4 linked regions of the Sus scrofa genome follow. The protein of the gene in region 2 purifies or fractionates together with the protein of the main gene of each other region. This does not show direct contact. Links are inferred from orthologs where the notes say so. Each region holds a gene or a part of one and is shown on either strand. Other genes may lie near its edges.

Region 1 (4,591 bases), on a different chromosome or scaffold from region 2:
TTTTCTCACATTATCATGCTCCATCACAAGTGACCAGATATAGTTCCCAGTGCAGTCAGAGATGTATTTGATTGTCTTAATTGGGAGGCGAGAGGAGCTACTGGCATCTAGTGGCTTATTCACCACCTGCTGTAAAAGAGGTAGATTCTCCAAGCGCAAATGGTCCTAAACCATGATACCAACCCAATGAATGTGTAGCACCCATCTGGGCCTCTCCACGTACAAGAGTTGGGAAGTAAGAGTGACTAACACAAACATGATGCTCATGCTTCTTGCTACGCTATGAGTTCTCTCCAACTCAGAAGTCTCATATGTTCTGCTGGTTTCCGTGAAACAGTAACAGGCTATAAAAGATTCACTTATAAGCAGGGTAAAATCAAATCCTGATAGACATCTCTTAAACACCTCTAACACAATCTCGCTTCTTAAAACAAGCATTCATTTCAGAGCCCTGAGTAGGGCAATAGTGCCTAATAACACGGTTTTGTTTCCACAGTATTTATTTTTACAGTTAGCAATTACCTTACCAGCGGCAACTGTCAGGGGAATATAAAGCATCCTTAAAGAAATTTAACTACAGGAGTTCCTGTTGTGGCTCAGCAGGTTACTAAACAGATGGGTATCCATGAGGATATGGGTTCAATCCCTGCCCTGGCTCAATGGGTTAAGAATCTGGCATTGCCACAAGCTGTGGCATAGGTTGAAGATGTGGCTCAGAACTGGTGTTGCTGTGGCTATGGCAGAGACCCCAGCTACAGCTCTGATTTGACCCCTAGCCTGGGAACATCCATTTGCTGCAGGTGTGGCCCTAAAAAGAAATTTAACTACAAAATGTAAACTGAGAGTTCCCACTGTGGTGCAGTGGATTAAGAATCTGACTTGGGTGGTTGCAGAGGGATGGGTTCGATCCCCAGCCCGTCACAGTGGGTTAAAGAATCTGACAGCGTGGCCACAGCTATATCTTGCATTCAATCCCTGGCCCCGGAACTTTCATATGCAACAGGTGCAATCATAAAACTTTTTTAAGTCGTAATTTGTGAATTTAAAAAAAATTAACACCAGAGTTCCTGTTGTAGTGCAGTGGAAACAAGCCAACTAGTATCCACAAGGATTCGGGTTCAATCCCTGGCATCGTTCAGTGGGTCAGGGATCTGGCACTGCCATGAGCTGTGGTACAGATCACAGATGCAGCACAGATCCCTCATTGCTGTGGCTGTGGCAATAGGCCGGCAGCTGTAGCTCTGATTCAACTCCTAGCCTGGGAACTTCCATATGCCACAGGTGCAGCCCTAAAAAGCAAAAAAAAAAAAAAAACAATTTAACACACAAAAAAAGTAAACTGACTTTAAGAAAAAAATAAATAATAACAGGGATGAGTATGGAGATGGCAAGGGCAGAATAACTCAAGTTCAGGAAACACTGTTATATGGCTATCAAACTGAATTACTTATTGATGCCCTCATATGCCTCCTTTCACAGACTGGGCTGTGAAATTAACTGAAAGAAATTCTTTTTTTTTTTTGTCTTTTTGTCTCTTTAGGACCACACCCACAGCATATGGAGGTTCCGAGGCTAGGGTCTAATCAGAACTGTAGCCGCCAGCCTACACCAGAGCCACAGCAACATCAGATCCCAGCCAGGTCTTCAACCTACACCACAGCTCACGGCAGCACTAGATCCACAACCCACGGAGGGAGGCCAAGGATCGAACCCTCAACCCCATGGTTCCTAGTTGGATTCGTTTCCACTGAGCCATGATGGGAACTCCTGATTCTTGGACTCCATCCTCACTCCCCACAACAGAAATCTTCACAGCAGCTCAACCTCCCATACCTCTAACCCCTCCACAGGGTAACATAAGTAAACACTGCAACTAAAGGAAAGGCAGTTTCACGGAAAGCTTAGTCCCACAGAATGTCTTAAAGTTAATGAATGAGAGTTCCAGTTGTGGCATGGCGGAAACAAACCCGACTAGGAACCATGAGGTTTCATATTCGATCCCTAGCCTTGCTCAGTGGGTTAATGATCTGGTGTTGCCGCGAGCTGTGGTGTAGGTCGCTCGAAGACAGGCTCAGATTCTGCGTTGCTGTAGCGTGGGCCAGCAGCTGTAGCTCCGACTGGACCCCTAGTCTGGGAACCTCCATATGCCGCAGGTTCGGCCCTAAAAAGTAAAAAATAATAAGGTTTATGAACAAGATCTTCTGACAGTTTTAAAAAATGGCTAAAAGTGCCTGGAAATCTCTCGTCAACATAACTGCAAATTTCCCCCAGACAAGATTAACCCCTCCCTCCTGGAAATTCCCACGGTACTTAATCTGTGACTATCCGAGGTCATCTTTTCCTACAGTACTCTTGGAGAAACACATTTATTTCCCAAGCATACATCTTCCAAAATAAGTATCTTATTTCCCCTACTTTACCGTAGGCCTATAGAAGACAAAAAATCTTATGATTGACCTATGTCGCCCAAACCAAGCATATATTAGATGCTCAAAAAAAAAGTTAAATATTCCCTTATTTCTGTTTACAGCAGTTTATTCTTCATGATGGTCACTTCACAGTAAGTCCCGTGAGCTTAACATATCTCTGATATACTTACTATACTTCCTTTTTATGGATGAGAAATCGAAGATAAGTGCTTTCCTTCGGTCACAGTGCTAGTAAGATGCAGAAGCAAGATTCCATCTCACAGCTTTTGAATCTTACGCATAATTCCAGAATACGCCCCTTCCCCGCGCGTGTGTCGGCCCCGCCTCCCCGGTGGCTGCGCGAACACACCAGAACCCCCTCGGCGTCCCACTGGTGACAGCAGGGAGCGACGGGCGTCCGAACCGCCGGGCCGAGCGTCTGCACCTGCCCGGCAAGCGCACTGAGGGGGGGGGGTCGAAGCCTCGAGGGCCGGGGCGGGGCAGGGGCCCACCTGCTCAAAGCCGGTTCCTCGTCGCTAGGTTCTTCAACTGCGTAGGGGTCGTAGTCACCTTGGAGGCGGTTCATGGTGGCCTGCACCCACCAACACCGTCCTCAGGCGTCGACAGGATATCTGTTTACTCCGCCGGTCCCTTCCCTAAAGCGCTCCTACACCACTTCCGCCAGCACTTCCTGCGCGCTTGCGCAGACCATCCCAGCAAGGGGTGGGGAAAGGGGAGCGTCCCAGTGTCCTGCTGCTGCGCCCTGCAGCTTCTGCTTCCTAGGAACCCGCTTCCTTATTTCTTATTCATTATTATTATTACGAAGTTACAGTCGGCACCCTCAGAAGTGGCAGTCTCTGAGATTAGCCCTGTACTTGCAGTGTGTCACGTTATGACGAGAAAACGCCAACATCTGTGTGCTGAGGAATTGTAGCCTGAGATCGGGGCCAGTAGGTCTCCAGACAGTAGCACCCGATGTCCCCAACCTTCTCTCCTGAAGTCCTTATGCCTTCTTTTCACGTGAGACTGCCTTTCCCTCACACTGCTCACTTCTCAGTCTGACCTCTGCCCTACCGACTACCTACCGAAAAGTTGCGAGGTCGTCACCTAAGTAATTGCCTTTACTTGGCCTCTTTTCCGTCCCGAAAGAAAGAAAGAAGTTCCCATTGTGGCGCAGCGGAAAGGAGTGTGACTAGGAACTATGAGGTTGCAGGTTCGATCCCTGGCCTCGCTTAGTGCTTTAAGAATCTGTCGTTGCAGTGAGCTGTGGTGTAGGTCGCAGATGGGGCTCGGATTCCGCGTTGCTGTAACTGTGGCCTAGGCTGGCGGCTGTAACTCTAATTGGACCCCTAGCCTGGGAACCTCCATATGCCGTGGGTGAGGCCCTAAAAGACAAAAAACCAAAAAAGACATTTTCCTCCCCTTTTTCTGTAGGCCTATACTCCAGGCCTGCCTCCTTACCAACAGCTCTCCCCTCTTCTTGATTCTAATCAGATGACTACCCGGTCTTATTTAATCTTTGCCTTCTCCCCCATGCACTGCCGGTTTTCCAATTGCTTTGCTCCATATCTCCGCCTGTTGCAGCGCTGACAATTCAGTCAGTGCAGCCCAACTCAGCTCAGCATCTTTCCATCCCATTCTTATACCTCACAAATAGCTACCTATGACCCAGTTTCTGCCTTTGGAAGTTCCTGTTGGGGGCAGAGGAAACAATTTGAGCAGTATCCCTGAAGGATGTGGGTTCAATCCCTGGCCTCGCTCAGTGGGTCGGGGATGGGGGTTGCCATGAGCTATGATGAGCGATGGTATAGGTCTCAGAGACTGCTCAGATCCTGCTTTGCTGTGGGTGTGGTGTAGGCCGGCAGCTGTAACTCCAATTAGACCCCTAGCCTGGGAACTTCCATATGCGGCAAATATCGCCCTAAAAAGCAAAAAAAAAAAAAAGTCGTATATTTAAAAAAAAAAATTTCTGCCCTTGGCTGCTTCCTCCATCCTCACAAGTGCCATAGACCAGAAGTCTTGGAACTGATTGATTCATTTCTCTGCCCCTCCATGAGCCCCAGGTCCCAAGTACTGCAGATCTCTTAGCAACTTTTCTCTCATCTACATTCCACCTCCTCACCCCTCACCTTGACTATTGAATAGGCTCTTAATTGACAGCCTTGTTTTGTTTTTGTTCCCTC
Region 2 (4,570 bases):
TTTTGGTGTCACAACTGAGGGGTGCTACTAGCATATAGTGGGTAAAGACCAGGGATGCTGCTAACCATCCTACAATGCATAGGACAGCCACTTTACAACAAAGAATTAATCTGGTCCCAAATTTCAATAGTATGAAGGCTAAGAAACCTGATCTGGATGGACAGGCAACCTACCAGGTGGAATTTCTAAACTACCACCTAGAGCTTCTATGTCCACAGTTCAGTGCCCTGGAGTCTCAGAAGATAGCCCAGCTGGAATGAGGAGCTCTGAAAACAGACTGACCAAGCTCAGCATCTAAGAATGGGAATGGGAAGGGGTGGGGAGGGAGCTGATCCTCTTTATGCAGGAAATGGAACAGACACGCCAGGCTGTGAAGATTGACATGCATGGCTGTAACTGATGGAGGCCATCTCTGGTTAATCCTGCAGTTGCTCATTGTGATTAACCATGACTGCAGGGCCCGGTCTAGTCTATTACACACTAAGAGATGAATTTTGACTGAGACAGATTGGCATGTCCAGCTGTCACTGAGAAAGTGTGACAGACAAGCTAGGAAGCAGTAGCATGGGGACAAGAACAGCCAGTCAGAGCGTTGCATTCAAGCCCCACCACTCTCTGGCGGTGTAACTTCTGAGCCTCAGTTTTCTCTTCTGTACGTTTGGAATACTGTTTGCTTACTAGGGTTGTTCAAGGATTCGAAATCATATACCAAATGGTCTACCCTGTGCATTTTGGACTTAGCTAGCCAGCCCTCACAATTACATAAGCCAATTCCTTTCAATAAGTTCTTATACACCTCCTACTGGCTCTGCTTCTTTTGTTGAACTCTGATAGAACCACCCAGTACAGGGCTAGGCCCCAACATAAAAGTCACTAATTAATAAAGAATTATGGTCATTAATTAAATGCATAATATATGTATTGAGCTGGGTCTGTCTTTGTGCTAGTTTACAGGAAAACAAGGGTGAACAAGACAGGCTCCCTCCCTCAATGTGCATGTACAGCCTGACTGAGATAACACACTAGGCCTGCACTGCCAGAGGACACTGGGTGATTATGGCTGGAGGGACCAATGTAGTGACTACTGTGAGACTGGTTCTCTCTGGGCTGGGTTTCAGAAGTTCTCCCCTACAGCTGAGTATGGCTGGAAGCTGGGACCGTGATAACCGGCCAGCAGTGACACTGTCACTTGCATAGAGATTGGCTGACCAGGACCATGACTGAGCTCTGAGTGGCTACTGGGTAGCCATGACCTTGACCCCAAATTCAGAGACCTTGACTGATTGAGAACGAAAAACCATGTCTGGTGGAAGTGTTTCTGGAGCGGGATATAAAATGCATCGTTTGATGAATGTTATTATCCACAGTTCAGGAGCCAAAACCAGTAACTAAAAGTAGCGAAAGGCAACGTTTGATAAGGCGGAACCGGCAGCCACGGGCCATTCCTCCCGCGACCGAGGGATCCGCCCGGCTCCTTTCCGCGTTGCTCCCATCCGGCGCTAAAGCGGAAGAACTTCCGGTGGCTTCCGTGGTTTCTGAGCCGGGGGCAAGGTCCGAGTCTGTGAGTGCGGCCTCATGTCGTCTTTCAACTGCTCTGCTTTCGTTGTGTGTGGCTGGGCCGCTTCTCTTCCCGACTCGGGATCGGGGAGGGCCCTGAGCTAGGGCACCCAGCCGGGTCTGCGGCGTTCCTGTCTGTGGGCCGGTGGTGAGTCCCAACTGTCTCTGCGGGCCTTGCTCCCTGAGGAACCGGCGCTAGATAAACCGTCGCCCGGACTTCCTTGGGTACCCAGGGTAACTTGCTTTTTTCCTAACCTTAGGACTTGGGGGGCCTGGAAGCCTTGGCTCTGCTTGACTTGGTCCTGTCCTACTCTCTGTAACTTCGGATAAGATCTTTTTTCCAAACCAAGCCTTTGTTTCTCCTCTACAAAAAGCATATCATGCTTTTATTAAGTAAATGTTTACCAAGCGTCTAGTAAGTGCTAGACATAACAAAAAAACTTAAGTCTCCTGGAGGTGACAGCCCTTTATTAACATTTGCAGAATTGCTGCTCTGATAAGTGAAAGGACAGGGCACCATGAGAGTGTGTCATAGGAGACCTGACCTAGCCCCAGGTTAGGGAAACTTTGCTGAGAAGGTGACTGAGAAAGGTGATTTGAGAAAGAGGGAAGGGAAGAGTTTTCTATCCTCGGAAGCCTCCTGTTTGAAGGACTGAAAGGGGCCAGACTGAAGAGGAGTTGCCAGGGACCATGCCACGCAGGCCTTGAAGGTTTATGGTAAGAGTTTTGGTTTGCCAGGAGCCACATGGGGAGCTTATCAGAGAATGTTAAATGTGGGCGGTGACATGCTTAGATTGGCTCTTTGAGAAGGTCACTTCTGCTGTTGGAGAAGGGATTGGAGGAGCAGTCACTCTTTGGACAAGCCATATGGTAGCTTAGAGTAAGGAGGTGGTAGAAGTGGATGGATGTGACTTTCTGCATTCCAGGGCCTTTACTTAGTGCCAGGCCATGTGCCAGCTGCAGAAGACATAGTGAAGAGAACTACAGTTATGAAAATAGAATGAAAAGGAGTGTTGTTTTCAAGGAGGAGCACACAGATGCCACCAGCAAAGATAGTTAATTGATGAGCAATTATTCTAAATGCAATAACTGTTTATTATTATTATTATTATTTGTCTTTTTGCTATTTCTTGGGCCGCTCCTGCGCCATATGGAGATTCCCAGGCTAGGGGTCCAATCGGAGCTGTAGCCACTGGCCTACACCAGAGCCACAGCAACGCGGGATCCGAGCCGCGTCTGCGACCTACACCACAGCTCACGGCAACGCCGGATCGTTAACCCACTGAGCAAGGGCAGGGACCGAACCCGCAACCTTATGGTTCCTAGTCGGATTCATTAACCACTGTGCCACGACGGGAACTCCCAATAACTGTTTATTTAGCAAATATTTACTAAATACTTTCTGAATTCAATATTGGGAATAGGAAGATGAAGATAAATTATTCAGAGCAGTGGCTTTGAAACTTGACTGTGACCTACAGTAACAGATACATTTTATGTTGTGAGCAAGAGTCCATTACAAATACACAAAGCTTCAGAAAACAGTACTTAGCTTTACAACTTATAATGCACTCTGATTTTTAAAAATTCTGCCCTTTTATTTAAAAAGTTAATGCTTGTTGAGATCCTCTAAATTGATTTCTTAACCCAATAATGGATTATGACTTGCAGTTGAAAAAAAATGTGAGTTTAGAGTGAGAGTCATTCGTAGTGGTTTTTGGATTAAGACAATAAAATATGCCCTTAACATTTTTTGTTTTGTTTTGTTTTTGATTTTTTAGGGCTATACCCGCGCCATATGGAAGTTCCCAGGCTAGGGGTTGAATCGGAGCTACGGCTGTCGGCCTAGGCCACAGCAACATCAATGAGGGATGAGCACTGTCTATGATCTACACCACAACTCATGGCAATGCCAGATCCTCGATCCGCCTGAGCAAGGCCAGGGATTGAACCCACATCCTCATGGATACTAGTCCTTTCTTCTGTGCCACAAAGGGAATCCCCTGCACTTAACATTTTTGGAAAAGGGTTCTTTTCCTCACAGTTATTTTGTTTTGTTTGTTTAAAATGAATAAAAAGAATTAAACAGGCAGCTGATTCTTCTCTTTGTGAAGTTTTAGGGTCTTGTTTATATGTCTGGCTAGGTTGGAAGTTTCTAGATGGCAGTAACTTTTTACTTATTTTGCAAAAGCTTCTGTTGGTGCTCGGCGAAGATCCTGGCACAGTGCAGCCGCTCCAGGATTATTTATTGAATTGAATAGGTAGGTGTCTTGGGACTAGAAGGTTAGATAATGTTCTGTTTAGATTAGTTCATGTTGGAACAATTCTTATAAAGGTAGTGTCTGCTTACAGAAGTTTTATCACTGTGTCTTCATGGGTAGTTCAGAGGTAGATAACATAAATGTTCTCAGGTCTTTCTCTTCTAAATAGTGATTTGAGGCCAGTCAGGCTACCTGAATCCATTTTGGGTGAGTGGTCCAGAGCTGCCACTGACTGGACCCTTTGGGAAGTTGTTTCACTTCACTTTCACTATAGTTCACTCCCTGGACTTTAGGTTTTTATAAGTAAGAGGAGAAGGGGGTTGTGGTTGTGGTTGAAAACTTCTCCAGTACCCAAAACATTTGTGAATTTTAGTTACTAAGCACTCATTTTCCACCTTCTGTCCATTTCTGGGCTTTCCTTGGGGCTTATAGAAAACTGAGTGAGTAGATCTCAACTCTTCTGGGGACTTTCCAACAACAGGTTTTAGACAGGGTTCTAGTTTAAGACAGTTTAGGCAGAGTTATAAGAATGGACCATTCAGGCCTTCTCTGACTTCATCTTCTGTATGAGAAGGAGATCTGAGAGTAGATCCAGAGTGAATAGTGGAAAGAACATTGGCCTGGAGGGCAGGGTACCCAGATTCTAACTGGGTCCTTTTGTGAGCACGACACTTTCTGTAACATGTCTTTCTAGCTGTGAAGTGGGTGTTCGAAGTGAGTGTTCTTGCTCCTTAAACCAAGACACAAAAACC
Region 3 (4,807 bases), on a different chromosome or scaffold from region 2:
GATCTACAGAGGGTCTAGACCGTAACCAGGTGTATAAAAGGAGCCATATTTGAGGAGTAATAACATGAGGATTTGAGCTTTAGTGCCTGACTGAATAGAGTGAAGTGAGTAGTTGAGTATGATTTTGAATTACTAATGAGCTTGACAGCTACATGGATAGCAATGCCATTAAGCAAGATAAGAACACCCTGTAAAAATAATTTTCTAGAAAAAAATATAAGGAATTGGCTTTGGATGTGCAGTGCTAATGTGACAATATTCTTGCCAATAAATATCACGTGTTTCTGTGAATAGGAGTTCAATAAAATTAACAGCAGGGAAGACATCCAGCAACTGCTAACCAAAAAATAAGCAGATATGCACTAAATTAAGAGCCAGAAGGACGGTATCATAAGACGTCAGATCTGAAACAAGACCCTACATAAGTCGCTGCATGAGTAGAGCCTTGGTCACCTCTCCATAATTCATTTTTAGTGAAGTTATAAGAAATGACAGGGCAAAATGCCCTACTGGGCCAGAGGTCAGATCTCAAGCACTGACAACACAGGAAATCAGTGAAGGAAACTCAAAATACTTCTGAGTGGGCCGATAATGGTCATTTAGTTCAATTATTTCTCTTTAGCAGCCAGGCAGAGCCACTCTAATTTTTTTAAACTTTTAAAAAATGTTTATTTATTTATTTATTTATTTTCTTTTTTGGACTCCCAGCAGCATATGGAGTTCTTGGACCTGGGATCAGATGTGAGCCACAGCTGTGACCTATGCCACAGCTTCAGCAGCAGCACTTCCCCACTGTGCCAGGCTGGGCACTGAAACTTCGCCCCACCACTCCAGAAACACCACCAATCCCATTGTGCCACAGTGGTAAATCCCAGGCAGAGCCACTCTTAGATCCTCACTAAAATAACTACGTGAAACAAGGCAACCTAATACACACACTGTTAAGACTGAGGAATACAGAGTAACAGCTAAAAGAACTATGGTTAAGGAAGACACATGCTTGAACCTGTTTAGTATAGGTACCTAGATACATTATGGCATAATTAAGTAATTAAATTTCAAACGAAGAACCATGGCTAATTAATATTGAGTATATATTAGTTCCTAAGGTAATGACTATTAATTTTCATCAATATTAATTTTAAAAAGTTTTTTTTTTTTTAAGTTCAAGGGCTTAACTGAATATAGGCAAATATCACTAATCTAAAAAGTTCAGGCTCTAAATCTCCTGACAACACTGAATGAAATATGAATATCATACATCACTGTTGTTAGAATGACATTAAAAAATCACACATATCCAATCAAAATAAGTGAAAGAGCCTCACCTTTCCCAGGTTTATATTTGAGATTGAAAGGCTGATTCTGCCAGATATAGGGGACCAGCATAGGTGCAAACTGGGTCATTATCTTCTCAATATAATTTTGAAGAATCTCTCTGTGTTTTTCTGGGTCCCTTAGTTCATCCGATATCAGGAACAGGCGGTACTCTACAGTATCTTCCACTGTAGCAAGCTTCATATTTTCCTCCATTCTTCTTTGAAAGCTACATTTAAAGTGGCAATAATATAAACCATACAAAATAATGCAGAAGTAATATCCCATTCCTTGAACTATTCTAGGCAATTCCATTAATGTTGTTTTCCAAAATTCAGTTATCCACATACAATCATCATGATTTTTGCCTTGACCACATACCAATTATAGCATTTAATTAAAATTCTTTCAATGACATTTTTATACTTACAATTATATGAAAGCAACTTTTGATACAATACAGTAAATGGAAATCTAGTACTGCATTCCCAAGTTAATAAGCGTGTAAAAATGAAATAAAAAATGTTTGCCTTTGCACTAATAGTGGTGCATGTAACACACGGTCAGAAACAATGCAATAACATCTCTTGAAATATTGACAAAAATTCCAGTTCTGCCACTGGTCCTAGTTGTGTCATTCTGGGCATTTCATTTTCTCTTTCTGGGGCTTCCCCCTAATTGTAGAATGAGAATGTTATTTTATCATTTCTAAAATCCGTCTCTACTTTCCTCCCTTCATCCTCTTCTCCCTCTCTTTCTCTCTCTTTACTTTCTTTCTTTCTTTCTTTTCGTTCGTTCGTTCTTCCTTTCTTTCCTGCCATGCCTGTAGCATGCATAAGTTCTCAGGCCAGTGACTGAACCCATGACACAGCTGTATTTAACCTCCTGAGCCACCAGGGAACTTCTTCCCTGAATTTTTATTGTTTAAACACTCTTAAGAGTAATCTCCCTTACTCTGCAGAATTTAAATCTTTCCCCTTGTACATCATGGGTGAATTCAAAACTACAAAACATTTATATCCTATCATTTCACCCCAAAATAATCTGCCCATGGCTCTTGATCCTACAACAACCCGTCCCAAACCACCGCCCTCCGCCCCTTTTCAGGTCTCAGAGGGTATAAATAACTGTTTTCTAAGGATTTCCCTTACAGACAAAAGTACTAGCTTACTATTGCTGCCAGGTGAGGCTTGTTAAAGAAAGATATTGCACTGGATGGTCCACTTTAAGGCTGTGATTCGATTTTCAGGCTTATTTGGTTTTCCAAGGAACTAATAAAACTAAGTCGAGAGGAACTTGCATCTTCTATCCAGACACTCACTACAGTCCAGATTGACAGATAATAAATACTCACCCACCCCAGAATGCCAAGCACACCTTATTATGAAGAATTTAGTGTCAGGCTAGAAGGGACTTTGAGATCACTCAGACTGACTCCACACTGTACATATGAGGAAACCGGGAGCACGGCAGGAGAAGCAACCAAGCAGCTGAGGCCGGACTAGGTTCTAGCGCTCTTTACTCAAAACAAGGGTCCCTTCTTCATCCAACAAAATGAAGCCAATTTCGCTTCCAGTTCTAAAGCCTGGGCCTCTTCCTCACGTCCCTGCTGCGGCACCTTTCCTCAGCCTTCTCTCCTACCTCGTGGGCTGCCAGCAGCAGCCAAAGCCCGGCTCTGACTGGATCCACACGCTTGTCTAGGACCTGAAGCCAGCGGAAACTTAAGTCAGAAACCGGCTCAGCTCCGGAACTCCCAGCGTCGCCTTTGCTAGGTGTCGGCGGGAGTATTAGGCGGCTGCACCTGTGCGTTCGTCACTTCCGCCCCCACGGGGAAACAGGGAGGGGAGAGGACTGGAGAGGTGGGGATCCTGGGGTGGTGGCGGTCCGGAGTCTAGGAGACGGGGCGTGACGGGGCCGGAAGGTGGCGGGAGGGGGCCGAGCCGGAGCTGGCGGGAGGGCCAGGCCCGGAGGCCCCCACCCTGGCTTGGCCGCCCCGGCCGCGGCTGAGGAGGAAGAGGAGGATGATCTCCAGATACACACGGAAGGCGGTGCCTCAGAACTTGGAGCTGTGAGTGGACTGCTCAGCCACCCAGCTGGGGCCGGGGGAAGCCGTGGCGGGCCGCAGGCGCTCTGGGGACCCTCCTTGACCAGTCCCTTGCTCCTTTTTCTTTCCCAGGGCGAGGGAAAGAAAAAATTCTTTGAAATTTTCTCCTCCTAGCCTTGCCGGACGTTGCCCCTCCAGACCTCCATCTCCAGCTAAGAGCGTGTTACCAGTGCAATCCCAGGACTTGACCCTCTTGGGCTGCACTCCCGGGGCTCAGGAACTGGGTTTCCTAAGGCATTTGTAGTTTCCGTTGTGTTCCATGCCCCACTTTCCATGGCCACTAACAACTCGTGAAGTTATTAATAACTGAGTCCTACAATAAAGTTGAATACGTCTAAAGCCAAACACCCTGCGAAGCGCTTACATGCATTAGCTTACTTAATCCTATCAATAAGGATACCAGATAGGAACTCTTATTTTGTACTTCCTACAAGATAAAGATCCCAGATCTGAAGGTTGTATCGTGCCAAAGATCACACAGCTAGGTGGTGATGGAGCTGAAGTATAGACCCGTTATCAGTCTGATTCTGAAGTTTGTGGTCATAACCATTACATACTGTCTCCCCACCTCTGCGTTGAAGAGTCAGAATCCTCAGGATCAGGTTTGCTTTTGAGACTTTAGAGAACAGATATTTCCAGCTTGAACAACTTAGTGAAGTGTTGTAATTTAGGAAGTAATGATAATGTCATACATTTATTAATGCTTTACACTTTCAGAAACTTTCACATCTTAATCTTTAAGATGGATATGACCATCTTCAATTTTCAGCAGAGGAAGTATCAGAAAGGTACACATCTTAAGATTATATAACCAATAGGTTTTTGAGCTTGGGCTTTTTAACCCCAAATCCCAGTTGTTGTTTTTCTCCACTAAGGTATGTAATTTTAGCAACCATACATTTATTAATTAAATATTAATTATATATGGTAATAACAGCTATGGTATTTTCAGTCACACCTGGGTTTCTGGTTAGACTCTTTTCTAGCCTTCTGAATTTTAGGCAAATTACTAATTTTTTGAGCCTTCATTTCTATAACATAGGAATAAGACTTTATCTAAAAGCATGTCTAAAATGATGGCATAGGGCTTGACATTTAATAGGGCCTCAATAAATGGTCATTTCCTTGTTCCTTCCCACCTTTATTTGGTGCAGTAGTCATACAAAGAAAATCAGTCTGTGATCTTTCCTTGCCTTTCAGAGGCTTATTATCTAAGTAATAGGACAGGACACAGAAGCAATTCAGATAATAAAGATTTTTAGGAACTAGGAAGAAGAAAGTCATTTCCCAATAAAGCAAATGTGGGTTAGCTAAAAATCTGCTTTTATAATTAATTCTGGCCATTCTGAAAGTGAAAAAAAATATCTTTCATCGAAAAAATTACTG
Region 4 (4,543 bases), on a different chromosome or scaffold from region 2:
GAGTGGCTTGGGTGGGCCCCCGGCAAGGGCCGCAGGCATGTGTGGGGCAGAGGCAGAGGGGTACCACAGGATGCCCGAGAGGGGTGTGGAATGGAGGGAGTAGTTGGGGCTGGGGATGGACTTGGCGTGGCAGACCTCAGTGACAGCCTAGCGTCATCAGCAACCCCCGCAGCCCTTGGACCTGTCACCACTGAGCCCTGATGCCCCTGTGAGCCATGAACTGTGGAAACCTTTGTGATCTGGGGGGCTGGCTGAGTGGTCAGAGACCCCTCTCCCCCCAGGGGTGTCCCACCTGTTGCCCTACTTCTACCTCCTCTACTTCACTGCGCTGCTGGTGCACCGGGAGGCCCGCGATGAGCAGCAGTGTCTACAGAAGTATGGCTTGGCCTGGCACGAATACTGCCGGCGGGTGCCCTACCGAATCATGCCCTATGTCTACTGAAGTAGCTCCACGCACCCCAGGCCGGGCATATGCAGGCAGGCCCATCTGCCAGCACACCCAGCACCAGGGGCCTGGACATGCCTGGGACTTTAGGGCCGGCACCCTACCCCACCCTGAGCTCCAACAGGCAGCGGTGAACTGCCTCAGACAGGGGGTTGGAGCAAGGGCAAGATGAAGCCCATGCTCAAAAACGGAGTGGAGGGGCTGCTCTTCCCCCTTGGATAAACATCTGGAACCCTTGGTGGTGCTTCTCTTCCTTTCTGGGGCCAGGCTGTTTAAGAAATAGCTGGGTCAGCTCTGATCTGGGAGAAGCTGAGAGGTAGTCTGGGGGTGGCTGGGACAACAGCTGTCACTCAGAAATGGGCACCTGTGACAGGGCAGACCAGTCGCAGTTTTATTAATGACAGAGTGTCTCCAGTTCAGCCCGGGAGCTCCTCAATGAGAGTCCTGGGGGCAGGTGGCAAGGGGCCTCCCCAAAGCTGCTCCAGCTCCCCAGTGAGGGCTGCCACCTCCTCGGCTGCGACAGCGTGGGCTCGGTGTGCCCTGGCACAGTCTAGAGCCAACGGTGTGAGGGCCACTTCATTTTCGTTCGTCCAAGCCAGCAGGAACTGGCACTTCTTTCGGGCCCGGTAGAGGCGATCTCGCTCTTCGGTGGCCACGGCTTGTTTCCGGGCCCGGCCCAGGGTCTGAGCCAGGTCCCCCAGGGCTGCCAGCGTGTAGCCTTTCTGGTTGGCCGGGCCCTCACCCAGCAAGATGCGGGCGGCTTCTCGCATGGCACCCCGTGTGCCCAGGGGCCCGGGCGGATGCTCGCCTGCTTCCAGCACATGGGCTGCGGCCTGCAGGGCTTCCTCGGCAGAGGTGAAGACTTGCTGGGCGCCCAGGGCTCCAGAAACGCCGAGCAGCGTGGCACAGAAGTCGGAGAGCAGCGCCTCGTCGCCGCCGTGATACAGGGCCAGAGTGTGTGCGTAGGCGAACAGCACATTGGGCAGCTGGAAGCGCACGAGCGGCGACGCGCGGCCCCTGCTCAGGCTGGCCAGTGTGGGGATCCGGGTGGGCACGGCGGGCGCGCAGACCCCGGGGGCGTCTCCGGGAGTCGGCCCGGCGGCCGCGGGCTCATCCTTGACGGGTTCCGGCGGCGACCCCGCGGGGGCAGGCTCCAGCTCATCGGCGTCACGGCCCGGAGCATCACCCAGTTCCTCCAGAAGCCTCGGCCCGGCCCCACGACCCCACCACCACGGCCGCCACGGGGGCAGCAGCCGCCCGGCCTCGCCCCGGCTCAGCAGCCGCTCGAAAGCCGCCTTCTCGGCCGGGGCCAGCCGCTCCCAGAGTCCTGAGAGGCCGCCGGGCGCCGGGCCAGGCCTGAGGCCTGCGTCCTCGGGCTCATCCTCGGTCTCGCGTTGCTGACGCAGCCGGCGCAGGGCGCTGGCCAGGCGGCTGGGTGAGGCGCTGCGGCCGCGCAGCTCTCCCAGCACCTGGTCACGGTAGAAGTCTTCAGCGCAGGTGCCATGCGCCCGGTAGCAGCGCAGCGAGCAGTAGGGCACATTACAGCGAGGGCAGGTGTAGCGCGCCGGCTGGGCCTCCCCGGCCGGGCAGATACCACAGGGCCCGGCCGGCTCCATGGCAACTGGCGCCGCAGGCCACCCGGGAACGCACAGGATCGGAAACTTCCGGCGCTTCTCGGTTACTTCCGCCCCTCCGCGGGGCCGACGGAGCGCAGAGTCGGAGCCCTGAGGACTCTCGGCAGTTTCCGCCCGCACTCGGCAGTCAAGCCCCACCCCTCTCTCGAGCAGCGCTAGGGGAGGAGCGAGAGCTGCGAGCATCGTCAACGCCTCCCGCGGAGCCCCACCCTGCGCGCTGGGAAAGGTAGTGCGTCCCGCAGGGCGCTCTGGTGGTGCCAGCTCGCCCCCTAGTGGTTGCCTTTTTTGCACGATAAATCGCTGTGGCGAAACCCAATCGATCTTTGCTGAGCACCTATTATATGCCAAGCCCATTGGAGATGAGACGTCTCTGCGCTGGACACAAAGCGGAGTGGAAGGAAGGCCGAAGTGGGGCACCTAGTCTAGACTGGGCGTGTGTGTTGGGGACATTTCCCCCTCCTTTTTTTTGTCCTTTTTTTTTTTTTTTTTTTTTAAGGGCTGCACCTGCCTGAGCTAGGGGTCTAATCAGAGCTGCAGCTGCTGGTCTGTGCCAGAGCAGCAGCAATGCCAGATCTGAACCGCGTCTGCCACCTACACCACAGCTCACGGCAATGCTGGATTGTTAACCCACTGAGCAAGGCCAGGGATCAAATCCACAACCTCATGGTTCCTAGTCGGATTCGCTTCTGCTGTGCCACAATGGGAACTCCATTTAAATTTTTTAAAAATTATTTCCCTGATGCAATTTTTTTTTTCTACTGTACAGCATGGTGACCCAGTTACACATACATGTATACATTTTATTTTCTCACATTATCATGCACATTTCGCCTTTTAAGAAAGCAACATTAACAAATATCTGAGCTCCTGCTTAACTTTGCCCTCCACGCTAGGCACCGGTAACACACTGAGGAGCAAAAAGGCAGAGAGTTCCCACTGTGGTGCAGTAGGTTAAGAATTTGACTGCAGGGAATTCCTGTTGTGGCTCAGTGGGTTAAGAGCTCAACTAGTACCTATGAGGATGCTGGTTAGATCGCTGGCCTCACTCAGTGGGTTAATGATGCGGCATTGCCGTGCGCTAAGCTGCAGCGTAAGTCCCATAGGCTTGGCTCTGGCGTCGCTCTGGCTGTGATGTAGGCCAGCAGCTGCAGCTCTGATTCAACCCCTAGCCCAGGTAGGAACCTCCAAATGTTCATATGCTGCAGGTGAGGCCCTAAAATGAAAAAGAGAAAGAAAGGAGGGGGAGAGAGAGAGAAAGGAAGAAAGGAAATCCGACTGCAGCAGCACTGGGGTGCGACCATATACAAAAGGGTACCTGTCCTAATAGAGCTTAGTTTGTGGTAGTGGTGTGGGGGAGTGACTGACCCACAAACTGTGCCTCGATCCACGGCACCCCTGAAAGTAAGCTCTAGTTCTGTGGTCCTTCACTCACACCCAGTCCTGCCTTTGGGCTGCCTTCGAAATTCCTTGTCTTTATCTCAACATGGCCCATTTATTTGCCCACCAAGTTCTGGATGGATTTGAGGAGTCTGCTCATTTTTTGCACCCCCTCCACCACTGGTGGCCTAAGCTACTTATTCCTCAATTGGATGGCATCAGCTTAACTGGCTTCCTAATTTTCTTACCTGCCAGCCCTCCAGAAAAGTCAGCCAAAGAAAATACTAGACAAGTCAGATCACACGAGACCCTTGTTAAAACCCTTACCTGCACTTGGTAACTTTATATTGCACTTGGGACTCCAACCCAAACTCTTCTCCATGTCTGACAAGACCCTGCAGACCTGCACACACCTTTGCACACAGTTCTCTTGGTTGAACTCTCACCATCTCACTTCCTGATGGGCTCCTGTTTCAGGTCTCACATAGCCCATCCTCAGACCTCCCGAAAGATAGGGTATAGCTCTCCGCCCTCACACTCCCCTTCATTACAGCACCCTGCCTACTTTTCTTTGAAACTGTAACACTTTTAAGTATTTAGTTCCCTTGTTTTCCCCACAACATGCTAAACCCCTAGAAGGCATGGGGGCCAGTATCTTCCAGAACAATCACTACAAAAGACACAAATAACCAACATGTTTGTGTTTTCTACATGGCAGGCAGATTCGGATTTAAGCACTTGACACAATTTAATCTTCACAGCAACTCTCAAGAGATGATGGCAGAGATTAAATAGTTCATGCCAGTAAATAAATGCAACAAGTATCCAAACTCAAGACAGTTCAAGTCTAGAGCCTAAAGTCTTCACCGCATAACATGCCGTATTCCAAGAACCGGCAGACTCTGAATGGTATGCATGCATTGCTAGGAGGGAACCTAAATCGACCCCAGAGAACCCCACTTCTAGAAACACTGAAATAATCAAACTGATTAGGTTAGCAAAACCAGCCAGTCAGAACAAACAAAATCACTAGGACCAATTGGTTTACCAGCCTTCCCCCCCCCCCCCAAGTTGCTGACTCTACTCC

The links. Proteins that work in one complex are often made in the same cells at the same time.
Region 1: the proteins of AAR2 (region 2) and EAPP purify together in Homo sapiens (affinity purification with mass spectrometry; 4 studies listed by BioGRID and IntAct, counting the BioPlex papers as one, with this or other methods). This does not show direct contact. The link is inferred for Sus scrofa from reciprocal best matches to the Homo sapiens genes AAR2 and EAPP.
Region 3: the proteins of AAR2 (region 2) and ECD purify together in Homo sapiens (affinity purification with mass spectrometry; 3 studies listed by BioGRID and IntAct, counting the BioPlex papers as one, with this or other methods). This does not show direct contact. The link is inferred for Sus scrofa from reciprocal best matches to the Homo sapiens genes AAR2 and ECD.
Region 4: the proteins of AAR2 (region 2) and ZNHIT2 purify together in Homo sapiens (affinity purification with mass spectrometry; 3 studies listed by BioGRID and IntAct, counting the BioPlex papers as one, with this or other methods). This does not show direct contact. The link is inferred for Sus scrofa from reciprocal best matches to the Homo sapiens genes AAR2 and ZNHIT2.

Annotation. Positions count from the first base shown.
Region 1 is NC_010449.5:65,238,720-65,243,310, reverse strand, and holds the start of EAPP (E2F-associated phosphoprotein), read right to left. Parts: upstream 3,103-4,591; 5' UTR 2,995-3,102; coding exon 2,921-2,994; intron 1-2,920. UniProt on the Homo sapiens protein: May play an important role in the fine-tuning of both major E2F1 activities, the regulation of the cell-cycle and the induction of apoptosis. Promotes S-phase entry, and inhibits p14(ARP) expression.
Region 2 is NC_010459.5:39,497,201-39,501,770, forward strand, and holds the start of AAR2 (protein AAR2 homolog), read left to right. Parts: upstream 1-1,498; 5' UTR 1,499-1,791; exon of another isoform or gene 1,792-2,274; intron 2,275-4,570. UniProt on the Homo sapiens protein: Component of the U5 snRNP complex that is required for spliceosome assembly and for pre-mRNA splicing.
Region 3 is NC_010456.5:75,989,521-75,994,327, forward strand, and holds the start of ECD (protein ecdysoneless homolog), read right to left. Parts: upstream 3,103-4,807; 5' UTR 2,959-3,102; exon of another isoform or gene 2,672-2,958; intron 1,547-2,671; 5' UTR 1,534-1,546; coding exon 1,329-1,533; intron 1-1,328. Other genes in the region: protein FAM149B1, read left to right, coding at 3,339-3,385. UniProt on the Homo sapiens protein: Regulator of p53/TP53 stability and function. Inhibits MDM2-mediated degradation of p53/TP53 possibly by cooperating in part with TXNIP. May be involved transcriptional regulation. In vitro has intrinsic transactivation activity enhanced by EP300.
Region 4 is NC_010444.4:7,072,917-7,077,459, reverse strand, and holds ZNHIT2 (zinc finger HIT domain-containing protein 2), read right to left. Parts: upstream 2,804-4,543; 5' UTR 2,434-2,803; coding exon 862-2,433; 3' UTR 803-861; downstream 1-802. Other genes in the region: TM7SF2 (delta(14)-sterol reductase), read left to right, coding at 282-442. UniProt on the Homo sapiens protein: May act as a bridging factor mediating the interaction between the R2TP/Prefoldin-like (R2TP/PFDL) complex and U5 small nuclear ribonucleoprotein (U5 snRNP).